2 linked regions of the Arabidopsis thaliana genome follow. The protein of the gene in region 2 purifies or fractionates together with the protein of the main gene of each other region. This does not show direct contact. Each region holds a gene or a part of one and is shown on either strand. Other genes may lie near its edges. The genes, in order: AT5G66530 and AT1G67280.

The links.
Region 1: the proteins of AT1G67280 (region 2) and AT5G66530 fractionate together in Arabidopsis thaliana (co-fractionation; one large-scale study listed by BioGRID). This does not show direct contact.

The regions. Positions count from the first base shown.
Region 1 is NC_003076.8:26,550,998-26,557,858, reverse strand, and holds AT5G66530 (Galactose mutarotase-like superfamily protein), read left to right. Parts: upstream 1-1,972; 5' UTR 1,973-2,283; coding exon 2,284-2,351; intron 2,352-2,411; exon of another isoform or gene 2,412-2,456; coding exon 2,457-2,555; intron 2,556-2,638; coding exon 2,639-2,752; intron 2,753-2,849; coding exon 2,850-2,901; intron 2,902-2,992; coding exon 2,993-3,130; intron 3,131-3,205; coding exon 3,206-3,304; intron 3,305-3,408; coding exon 3,409-3,506; intron 3,507-3,603; coding exon 3,604-3,711; intron 3,712-3,801; coding exon 3,802-3,883; intron 3,884-3,972; coding exon 3,973-4,038; 3' UTR 4,039-4,117; coding exon of another isoform or gene 4,118-5,980; 3' UTR 5,981-6,069; downstream 6,070-6,861. Other genes in the region: AT5G66540 (U3 small nucleolar ribonucleoprotein), read left to right, coding at 1-11, 95-163, 255-296, 391-459, 574-645, 741-791, 888-1,029, 1,148-1,206; AT5G66520 (Tetratricopeptide repeat (TPR)-like superfamily protein), read right to left, coding at 4,118-5,980; GAMMA CA3 (gamma carbonic anhydrase 3), read left to right, coding at 6,363-6,477.
Region 2 is NC_003070.9:25,187,544-25,192,325, forward strand, and holds AT1G67280 (Glyoxalase/Bleomycin resistance protein/Dioxygenase superfamily protein), read right to left. Parts: upstream 3,152-4,782; 5' UTR 3,005-3,151; coding exon 2,890-3,004; intron 2,741-2,889; coding exon 2,545-2,740; intron 2,455-2,544; coding exon 2,330-2,454; intron 2,190-2,329; coding exon 2,125-2,189; intron 2,003-2,124; coding exon 1,790-2,002; intron 1,656-1,789; coding exon 1,608-1,655; intron 1,493-1,607; coding exon 1,385-1,492; intron 1,290-1,384; coding exon 1,149-1,289; intron 1,062-1,148; coding exon 1,020-1,061; 3' UTR 695-1,019; downstream 1-694. Other genes in the region: GLOX1 (glyoxal oxidase-related protein), read right to left, coding at 3,625-4,782. UniProt on the Arabidopsis thaliana protein: Catalyzes the conversion of hemimercaptal, formed from methylglyoxal and glutathione, to S-lactoylglutathione.

The sequences.
Region 1 (6,861 bases), on a different chromosome or scaffold from region 2:
GAATCATTGAGGTAACTACTTGTGGCAGTAATTTGTAACAAAGGTCTCCCTTGTTTCTTCCTGGTTTTGCATGACTGATCTTTTTACTCTTTAGGCTCGTTTCGATGATGTTCAACGAGCACCTCGTCTACCCACTAAAGGAAAAAGAGAAGCCAAGGAATTGGTGAGTTTTATTGAAGAACTATTACTTCTATCCTCTTTTCTTGCTCTGGTGTAATAGTTACAATTGATTTGTTACTTTTGGGTATATGCAGGACGAAAGCAAAAGCAAGAAAGGTCTTGCCGAAGTTTACGAGGTTTGTATCATGTACAATATTTGATTGTGTTATTGCATTTTTTGTGAGATAACCAAACTTACATATGTGTTTTGGTCCATTTGGTTATTTGTAGGCAGAATACTTTCAGAAGGCTAATCCAGCTTTTGCCCCAACAACTCACTCTGATGAACTAAAGAAAGAGGTTCCAACTTGATTTGATACTTATTTTTCCTGGGTTTTTGTGTTTGCATATTTATCTTCTCCTTTCATTGTTAGTGTATATATCACATTCTCTTACTTATAAACGTTAAATCAGGCAAGCATGTTGTTCAAGAAACTATGCCTGAAGTTGGATGCTCTCTCCCACTTCCACTTCACACCTAAACCAGTATGTTTCTTGCTTAGATCCTAAATGATGATCACCTCAAGTGTCTAGACATAGCTGTTCTGGACTGAAACTTTTTATTTTCTCCAAACTTTCAGGTGATTGAAGAAATGTCTATACCAAACGTTTCAGCCATAGCAATGGAAGAGGTAATTCTAAGCCCTTTCCTTTTTTTTGTTTGTTTGTTTGGTAATTGGGATTGGAGACCATTATACTTATCAACTTGTTCCATGTGTACTGTGTAGGTTGCGCCCGTGGCCGTCTCAGATGCAGCAATGCTTGCCCCAGAGGAAATATTTTCCGGGAAAGGTGACATTAAGGATGAGTCTGAGCTCACACAGGAAGATAGAAAGAGGAGGAGAGCGAATAAGAAGAGAAAGTTTAAGGGTAAGGAAGTGAATAACAAAAAGAATATATACTCAATTGGTAAAAAATACAAAATCTGAGTGCATCATGTTGCATTTTAGACGCATAATAACCTCTTTGCTTTTCACTTGTGAAACAGCTGAATCTGCAAATGAACCGCCTAAAAAGGCGCTGGATACAAGTACCAAGAACCCTTAAACTGGTATTTTCTGTGCTCTTACATGACTGACTATAGATTCAAAAAGCATCAAAAAATTAAACGTTGCTTACTTTTGTGAAGTTACATGTTGAAGAAAGGAGAGAGTTACAGAGGCAAATTCAAGATGATAAGATCTCGGTCAAGAGCATTGCTACACAGACAGCTTGAAGATTAGATAAAACAACAGTTTTGAATGAGAGAAATATTTAAACTTTGTCTTTCACAAATTTGAATTTTATTGTATTTTTTTCTCTTTGTATGAGTAGTTCCATTTTCCTTGTATCGATAGAAAAATTCCAAAGAAATCTTAAAAGAACAAAAATGTGCAAAATTCTTAACACCAACATGAATCCTAATGGTAAGATTGAATTTGATATGTTAGCTACAACTAATGAGGCACACCCGTAAGATAATGAAAGAGCAGCAGCAGCATACATTACCTTTCCGAGTCCAGCATGATTCCTCCTTTTAAGTGTAACCACTCTATAGTCTTTCGATTGGGCTAAAAGCCTCAAAGAAGTGAAATAGTAAAAAGGTAATAGATAGAACAAATAAGCTGGAGTAGCTCAGTTGGTTAGAGCGTGTGGCTGTTAACCACAAGGTCAGAGGTTCGACCCCTCTCTCTAGCGTTATGCACTAATTTTTAATAAGCCCATTAGTAATATTGGACCTGGTGGAATGTATTGAACAGCCCATACCCTTCTTTGTAGATATTATTGATAAGTTAGTCGGACTTAAGAAGGATATTCGTAATCCATAAACGATATTATTCTCAAGTTAGTGGTCAACGTTAAACTTTGGGTCCCGACCGCCATTTGAAGAGCCGGTTTCTCCATCGTCGTCACTCGTCATTCGTTTGTTTGTCTCTTCCGGATAGATATATAAATAAAAATGTCCGATATTTTTTTAAAAAATTACATTAGTTTTGCTGCGTTTAGTATTCAATTTCATCGACCCAAATCAAAATCTCTATTCAATCCTTTTCCTTCTTCTTGTTGCCCTAGTACGAGAGGACCGGGAAGGACGCAATATATAGGATACTAGATAGAGAGTGACTGAAGGAGAGAAAAACAAAAATGGCGATTGTTTCCGTCTCTAACTCTTTTCTCACTTTCAATTCTCCCAATCAGCTCCGATTTAGCCGGTAATATTCTTACTGCATTTTGTTTTTTTTCTTTTGGTTTCGCTTCTAATGTCTCTACCTTGCATTTGATCCACACAAAAAAAAACTCGATCTTGGATATTGCAGAAGAAGATTCTCTGCCATGGCTTCTTCAACTACTGGAGTGAGAGTCGCTGAAGGAGAAGGCAATTTGCCAAAACTTGTCCTTACTTCTCCTCAGAACAGGTATCAAAAACTATTGACCATCTCATACTAAGTAAGTCAGGTTCAGCTTTATGTCATCTGGGTTGATTTATAATTGGATGCAGCGAGGCTGAGATATATCTCTTCGGAGGCTGCATTACTTCTTGGAAAGTTGCGAGCGGTAAAGATCTTCTTTTTGTCAGACCAGATGCTGTCTTCAATAAGATTAAGCCCATTAGGTATGTGTGTGTGAACTTCAACAATTGTTGTTAAACCAGATAAAATTGTGAGTAATGTCTTTTCTTTTTTTCGTCATACTGTTTGTTATTGGATTAGCGGAGGGATTCCACATTGTTTTCCACAGTTTGGACCTGGGCTAATTCAACAGGTACTCTCATTTACTGTTTCCTCGCTTGATCAAATCTCTTTTTAGTTGTTTATGCTTATTTGGTGGTCTTGAACCATTTTGGAATCATTAGCATGGGTTTGGAAGGAACATGGACTGGTCTGTTGTCGATTCCCAGAATGCAGATGACAATGCTGCTGTTACTCTTGAGCTTAAGGATGGTCCCTATAGTCGAGCCATGTGGGACTTTGCTTTCCAGGCTCTATACAAGGTGTGTGTCATGCCTTTCACTAATGGCATTCTTGTATGTTATAGTATTTCATAACAGTTTGTGTTGATACTTTAGGTCATTGTTGGCGCGGACTCCCTTTCCACTGAGCTAAAGATTACAAACACAGACGATAAACCATTTTCTTTCAGCACTGCGTTGCATACTTACTTCCGTGTAGGTCCACTAAATCATTTTCCTATGATTTGATACTATGGCTTGCAAATTGAGTCCATGTTATCAACTTTTTCTTCTAATATTTTTTTTTTTGGGTTCATCAGGCTTCTTCTGCGGGGGCCTCCGTGAGAGGTCTAAAGGGTTGTAAAACTCTCAATAAGGATCCAGACCCTAAGAACCCAATAGAGGGTAAAGAAGACAGGTTGGTTTGGTATTTGTTTTTCTTCATTAACTACAGATCTTATTTATTTTATTTCACTTGTTTCATGGTTGTAACTCCTTAATTTCTAACATTTCAGGGATGCAGTCACTTTTCCTGGATTTGTGGATACCGTCTATCTTGATGCTCCCAATGAATTGCAGTTTGATAATGGCTTGGGTGATAAAATAATCATCAAAAACACAAAGTACATTTACTGAGACACTTATATGGCTTTCTACAGGGTCTATGTTTCGTTCTGTGCCTCATGAGTACTACTTGTTTTTGAAAAATGCAGTTGGTCGGATGCGGTCTTGTGGAACCCGCATACTCAGATGGAGGCTTGTTACAGAGACTTTGTGTGCGTGGAAAATGCAAAGGTATATCAGTTTACACTTAAGTCTTTCCTCTTTACAAAACTTATAGACTCAAAAGTTTATAACTCTTCCTTGTCATTTTTAATTCTCAGCTTGGGGATGTCAAGCTAGAGCCGGGACAGTCTTGGACTGCAACACAACTTCTCAGCATCAGTTGAAAACATTGTACTTTAAACTTATAATGTCCAGTGGATCCATTTTCTTAAGCAATAAAAGTTTTATTTCCTCTCCCAAATTTTACCAGTAGTCCCCACAACTGCATTTCCCATCTCTGAAATGATGGAACCTTGTCCTATCTCTCATTACAATATCCCTCTTGTATATCTTAGAGATGAGCTTCGTTACTTTGTGACAATCTTTGCATACTCGGAGATTCTTCATTATACGAATAATGGTTCCTGGTTTAGTCTTGATTAACCCGTATGTAATAGCCAATTTCTCGCTATGCTGATGCACAATAGCCTCTCTTTCATCATCATCAACTAGATCAAGCAGCATCTCTTCTAACTCTGGTACGTACCCGTTTTCCTCAAGTTTCCTTCTCATGATTCTCCATTTAGATTGAATTTTCTCTATCTCTGGGTGTGATCGGTCTCCCGCTAAAAACTCGTGTGTGGTCCCTTCCAAGCTAATTGTACTACATCCTGGAACTTTTGCTACTCCTTGTTCTTTCATCAATCTTCTTGTTTCAGCTGCTTTGTCCCACTTTTTATCCATAGCATGAATATTTGCCTTATGAACATATCTTCCGCCATGATATGGATCTATTGCAATTAAGATTTCTCCAATTTCCTCTCCCAATTCGATGTTTTTGTGAATTCGACAGGCTTTGAGCAACGCACCCCATATCACAGCATTTGGCTTCAATGGCATCTCCTGAATGAAACGTTTTGCTTCATCAAGCAATCCAGCTCGACCGAGTAAATCAACAATACAGCCATAATGCTCGATGGTCGGTTTCAGGTTGTAATCTCTCTCCATGCTGTAGAATATCAACTTTCCTTCTTCAACTAGTCCTGTGTAGCTGCAAGCCGTGAGAACCGCAGTGAAAGTGATCACATTTGGCTTAATTCCCATCTTTTGCATCTCCATGAATTTGCTAATAGCTTCTCTTCCATGGCCATGGTATGCATATCCTGAAATCAAAGCTGTCCATGCTTGCACTGATTTTTTCTTAATATTCTTGAAAACTTCCAAAGCTTCTTCCATTTCACCGCACTTTGCATACATATCTATAAGAACACAACCCAAAACAGAGTCCATTCTGATTCTTGTCTTATTAAGATAGGAATGGATCCATTTCCCTTGCTCGAGTGCTCCGAGCTGAGCACAAGCTGAGAGAGCATTAGCTAGGGAAACATTATCAGGCTCAACATCTGAATTCTGCATTTCATGAAACAATTGCAGAGCTTCCTTGTTCATGTCTGCTTGAACATACCCAGAGATCATCGTAGTCCATGATATAGCATTCTTTTCTGCCATTTTCCTGAATAACGTTAATGCAATATCCATTTTTCCAGCTTTTACATAACCTTTGATCACAGAGTTCCACGAGACATCATCAGGTTCGGGGATTCTGTCAAAGAGAAGGTGAGCTAGCTTGAAATTCCCGGTCACAGCATATGAATTAATCAGAGAATTCACTGCATAGACATCATTTTCATATCCAAGTTTCGTGATCTGTGCGTGAATTTGCGTTGTTTCTTCAAATGCAGATAGGTTCGAACAAGCTTTGAGAAGAGACGGAAAAGTATACGCGTTATGAGGAGCTGAAGAACAGAGCATACGTTGATACAGGAGAAGAGACCTCTCGGGTTCGTCTGAGCACGAGAACCCTCTGATCATTAGGTTCCACAAGAAAGTATCTGGTCGATCAAACCCGTCAAACACAATCTGGGCATAAGGCAAAAAGTCGGAAGACGTTGAAGAAATGCAGAAAGAAAGAAACTTTGTGATTGCATAAGAATCCTGCATCAAGCCAGTTTTCAGCATGCGAGCGTGGATTTGCTTCAGTTCTTCTTGCTTTGAGCATCTCTGGAGACAAGACATTGTCTCGTAGAGATTATGTTCCAATGAGAAGGAGCATGAGATCACATTCATTGTAGTTCATTCGATAAAACAGAGAGACCTCTTGAGAGATAAGGTTCTTCTTTGGTTGATGTTGATGATAACTATATTCTCAATTCTCAGTGGACGCCAAAGTGTGTGCCGTTTGTTCGAGACTTAAAAGGATAAAGTGACGTGGCGAAGAATTACCATAATCACCATAAATTTACCTCCTAATTTTACCAACAGCAACCTGAAATAACATGAACCGGATAATAACGGTCCGACCGAAAATTGAGCACAAAACCAACAAATGGGGATGAGTCGTCAAAGACTGCACTCTCTCCTCTTCCTCTGGCTCCGGCGAAAAACCCCTTTTCGATTTCATTGATAAAACGCAAATCGATCTCTCGTGTGGAAGAAGAAGAAGAACACGATGGGAACAATGGGTAAAGCATTCTACAGCGTAGGATTCTGGATCCGTGAAACTGGTCAAGCACTTGATCGGCTCGGTTGTCGCCTCCAAGGGAAAAATCATTTCCGAGAACAGCGTATGTCTTTTGGATCGCCTTGTCTTCTCTTAGTTCCATTCGAATCCTGGTGATGATTTTTTTTTGTTTCATTACTCGTCGGGTCTTCGAAATGTTTGTGTATTTCTCTGGAATCAGGTCATAGTTTTGATTGATGCGTTTCCTCTTATGTTGATGATTGATTATGGCATTTTTGATTAGAAACCTTAGAGCTTAAGATCAAATGTTCTTCATTTTGCTAGTGACGGTATCCATTTCTGTGGTTGCGAAGAGAGATTCTCGTTAATTTTCTCTTACAAGTTCCTCTTATGTTCTCTGTATTTGGCTAGTTATTATCCTAGTTGAAATCTTCTTCACTTAGACAAGTCTGTTATGTGTTAGCCTGTGCTATGATGGGTGGTTCAC
Region 2 (4,782 bases):
AAAATCAGGAGTCAAAACATAAATATCAAGCAATCAAACTAATAATAATATAAAAGGATTAACAGTATTCAATAATAAGACAACCAAAAACATATGCAAATATTTAAAAAATCATAAATAAAATCGACTGAATATAAAATATCTTAAAAACTGTTATTAGCACATACCTTTTGCAAAATAATTCAACTGAATGTTAGGTTTCTTCATTGATGCGATAAAAAAAATCTAAACTTTCTTTATGATATGTGTTTTCGCTATATTGTTATAAAAACAATACGGCGGATATAAATACATAAAGCTGTGAATATGATCTTTTTATAGAACAAGAATGTTAACCTAGACGACATAAAAATTGAAACATGTCAAACGATGTCGAATAGATTAGTATAGTCGATGTCGTTTGGCATATTTTAATTTTATGTTGTTTAGGTTAACTTCTAGTTTTATAAAATCGTATACAAGTTTATCTAACGCTAATCCTTTAGTATATTATACGATGTCGTTTGACATGTTTCAATCTTTGCTTCGTCTAAGGTAATTTTTTGTTCAGCAAAAGATTATCTAATTCACAAATTTTTTGTATCACTAAAATCTAGCCCGTTTAATCTACACATACATATTTTTTTGTAAATAAAATCCCGAATTAAACAAAATTAAGAAGAAAAAGAAATGACATTCAAGAATTGATGTCAAGCTTCGATGTTTTCTAGTGTAAGGATCCTCATAACTTGGACTAGGCATAAGATTTTTTCTTGAATATCATTCACTTATCATCTTATTTATTGGCAATTAATGTTAAGTGGAACTAATATACAAAGACGCAACATAGGCTTTTATACTGTAAATTAAACAACTACACTATATTCTGAAAAACAAATCATTCACTTTGATAAAAATATTCAGCACTGAGAGAGATTATATCAAACCCCAAACTGATGTAATTCACAACAAGGCCTCTCCTCCTGTCTCCCTCATAAGCCATTTTCGTGCATTTGTTGCCTCTCTTCTGCTTTCTCCTCTCACTCCAGTTCTTTGAGAAAGTCAATGTTGTCCACAAATACCTGTAAAGCCAAAAGTCGAAACTCAAAACGAGACATTCAGAGCTCTTTGCATCAATATGAATCTATCTCTACACACCAATATCTTACCGATTTCCAACCATCAGGATCCAGACACGCGGTGATCTTCGTGCTAATACCTGGTAAGGGACCAGGCTCCCTCGTGATTTTTCCCCCAAAGAGTTTTATAGCTTCTGCAGTTTTGTACACATCATCCGTCCCTATTGCTATCTGATAGTAATCAAATACAAGCAAACAAGTTAAAACTATCGCAACCCTCCAGTTGAAAAGTAATATAGACGAACGGAATGTCAATTTTCTTTTACCTGAGCATAAGCATTTCCTTTATCATATTCAGTGACACCATAGTTATATGTCAGCTCTAGGACAGGAAATTTATCTTCTGGACCATATCCCATCATGGCTATTGTGTACTGCAAATAACCACTTACGGTAAGTGAGTTTATACAAAAACATATAACCGATATATACAATGGAAGGTTAAGGCCGCATAAGTAAGAATTAGATTTGTGAGGCATTGCAAATTACCTTGTACTCTGGGTTGTCTCTTGTTCGCAGAAGTTCCATTCCAAAAGCCTATAAAGAAAGGAAGCACACATGATCAGAGGATAAGAATGCATTCTGATAAAAGAGATAGAAACTATATCAGATCAAACATTTACTGTCAGGCTGCAAACTACCACATCTCAAAACAATTTCATAGGAATCACCTTCTCATAGAACTTTATGGCCCTATCGAGATCACCAACACGGAGCATAACTTGGCAAAGAGGTTCTGGTGTAGGACCTCTTTCCAAGAGTTCAAATTTGTAACCATCAGGATCTTCAATGAATGCTATTACAGTTTTGCCACCTTTGACAGGACCAGGCTCCCGGCTTACTTTTCCCCCTTTGGCTTTCACAAGCTCTACAGTTTTCGCCACCTTTTGGAAAGAAATTTTCACTTCTTAGATATAAAACCATTAAGTGGAAAGAGTAAAATCCATACACATCAAACACTGTTTCAAAGAAAGAACATAATTGCATATAGATTGTAGAAGCTCACATCATCGACCGCAATACCAAAGTGACCAAAACCAGCCCCAATGTCATACTTGTCAACTCCATAATCTGTAAAAAAAATTACACTAAGAAAGCTAAGCCAACCATATAAATATAAAATGCATAGTCTTGAGCTCCCTAGAGCTAAATGAACTACAATACTCAGAGTCTTGGCAGTAGCATAAAAGGGGGATACAGATATAACTTACTATAAGTAAGCTCAATCACAAAGTGTGAATCTTCCGGTCCATAACCAAGGAAAGCATTAGTATACTTCTCTTCTGGTATATCACGCTTACGTAGAAGCTTCATCCCAAGACATTCAGTATAAAACCTACAGCAATCAGATGATTCTTTTAAACTTAATGTGACTTTAAGAGACTCAACATCAAAGCCATATCACAGGAAAGCCAAAGTGAAGTACTTTATCGTCCGGTCCATATCGCCAACACGATAAACAACATGAAGCATTCTTCTCTTATCATTCTTAACCCAGGTGAGAAGATCATCTTGTGTAGTAGCTTGAGCTGCTTTACCAGATTCAGCAACTCCTAAACAGTTTACACTTCTTCTCAAAAGCTTATGAGAAGTTAAACCAAAAAGCTGTGATTGAGGAACATCTGCAACAACACAAATTGAACAAGAATCATAAACCAGAAATTTGGGAACTTTAAAACAACCCTAGTTCTAGAATTCACTAATCAATTGGAGAATGATTGTATCTATATTGTGTAGTCAACGATATATGTGAAAGGAGGAGGATGATTACGGAGAGTGCGAGAGAGATTTCTGGAGAGGAGGGAGATGGGGAAGCGAGGAGAATCAGAGAAGCAGGCGAGGGAAGGTCGAATGGAGGAAGCAGCCATAGGAATGATCCTCACCATCTTCTTCCTCGAGATTCAGAGCTCTCTGCGTGTGTTGATGAATGATTCGTCAAGCGGTGGCTACTTTTCCTCCGTCGGAGATTAAGTGACGACAACGGTAGAGACTAGAGATAAAGCTTTTTTATTCTTTTTTATTTTGGAGATTCATTAAAAAAACAAAACAAAAAAACAAAAACAAAAAATTGAACGATTCGTGATATTTAGACATAATTATTATTAGTTAAATGATTAATTAGTTAATTACTGCCTTATTGGAACTTATATATTTAGATTTTGTATTGTAATGTTAAAATGAAATGAATTTTTTCTTACTTACAAAAAATAAAAAATGGAATCGATGTTGGAAAATAAATGTCATAAGTAACACTATTTATTAATAAAGGACTACAAGACTGTTGAAAAAATATAAAATAATAAATAACCATTCTATATAGTGATTTCATTATGACAATTTTCTCCAATTTGTTATATCTATCAAAAAAACATTTATTCAAAAAATATAATAATTACAAGAATCAAAGAATATATACATGTAAGTATAAAGAAAAAAAATTAACCTTACAAACATGTTATATAGGTTTCGTTTCAAAAAATAAATTGATAATATATGCATATCAAAATTAGACAATCTGAATCCATTCTCCAACGCTAGGGACACCATTGTAGACGGCAAAGAGAAGATAATAACCAGGAGGAGCAAGTTTTCCACTAGGAGGAGCAACGGCTTGGATTTGATGATTATCGCCACCAACATTCTTCACATTGTTAATACCCAACATAAGCAACCTCATGTTCATTGATACACTATGTGTAGTAAATGATGGTGCCAACATTGTCACCATTACATTCTCCTTTGCTACGTTTTGTTGTTTAAGCTCGATCTTTACGTCAAACATTTGTCCATACTTAATCTGTTTTGGTGTTGCGGTGTTTACGATTCTTGGTCTCATATTGGCTAGAGCTGGATCAAGGTAAGGTGGTGAGAATTTCTCGATGCGGAGTTCGGTTGGGTACTCAACGTTGAATTGGTATCCGTTGTTGGTGTTGCTTCCACCGACGAGAACTTTACCATCAGGAAGAGCGATTGCGATGGAATGGTACACACGAGGGATAGTGGAAGGAGCGAGTTCTTTGAAACGTTGGCCTAAAGGTTTGTTAGGTTTGTACAAGAGTGGAGCAAAATTTGGTTCTTTGGCTAAGTGCCAACCAGAGGAGCCACGTTTTGCACCATTAATGATAAGAATTTCTCCATTAGGAAGGATCACAGTATCACTCATCACACGTGACGTTGGCATGGTCTCTGTTTTCCATACAGGCTTAGCACTATTGATGTTTAACCTTGCACAATCTTTCAAGGCCCAATCGTAAATCTTTAACCTCTCTGCACGGAAGTAAGCGTCTTGTTTTGCACCACCGCAAACTAGGACATCAGCGGGGATGATAGCGGGGTTTTGGACGTAGAGGCGGATGGGGAGAAGAGCCGAGGAGGCGGAACCAGGGTAGTTACGGGCACCACCGGGAAGTTGAGGGAACTCTTTGAGCACTTTGTTTGTTTTCGGGCTAAGAAGAATGGATCGGTTGTTGGCGAAAATGAAGAGGTTACCATCAGTGTTAAGCCAAACAAAAGGGTAAAGATTGTTTTCTTCTGGATCATCTGTTTGTCTAAGAAGTTGTGAGTCATAGAGTTTCTTGTTGTTTTGTCCTTCCGGAAGGATATACTCGTAGTTGAGAGCGTCACGGCCTCCAACAACGATGAAAGTTCCATCAGGAAGAGTGGC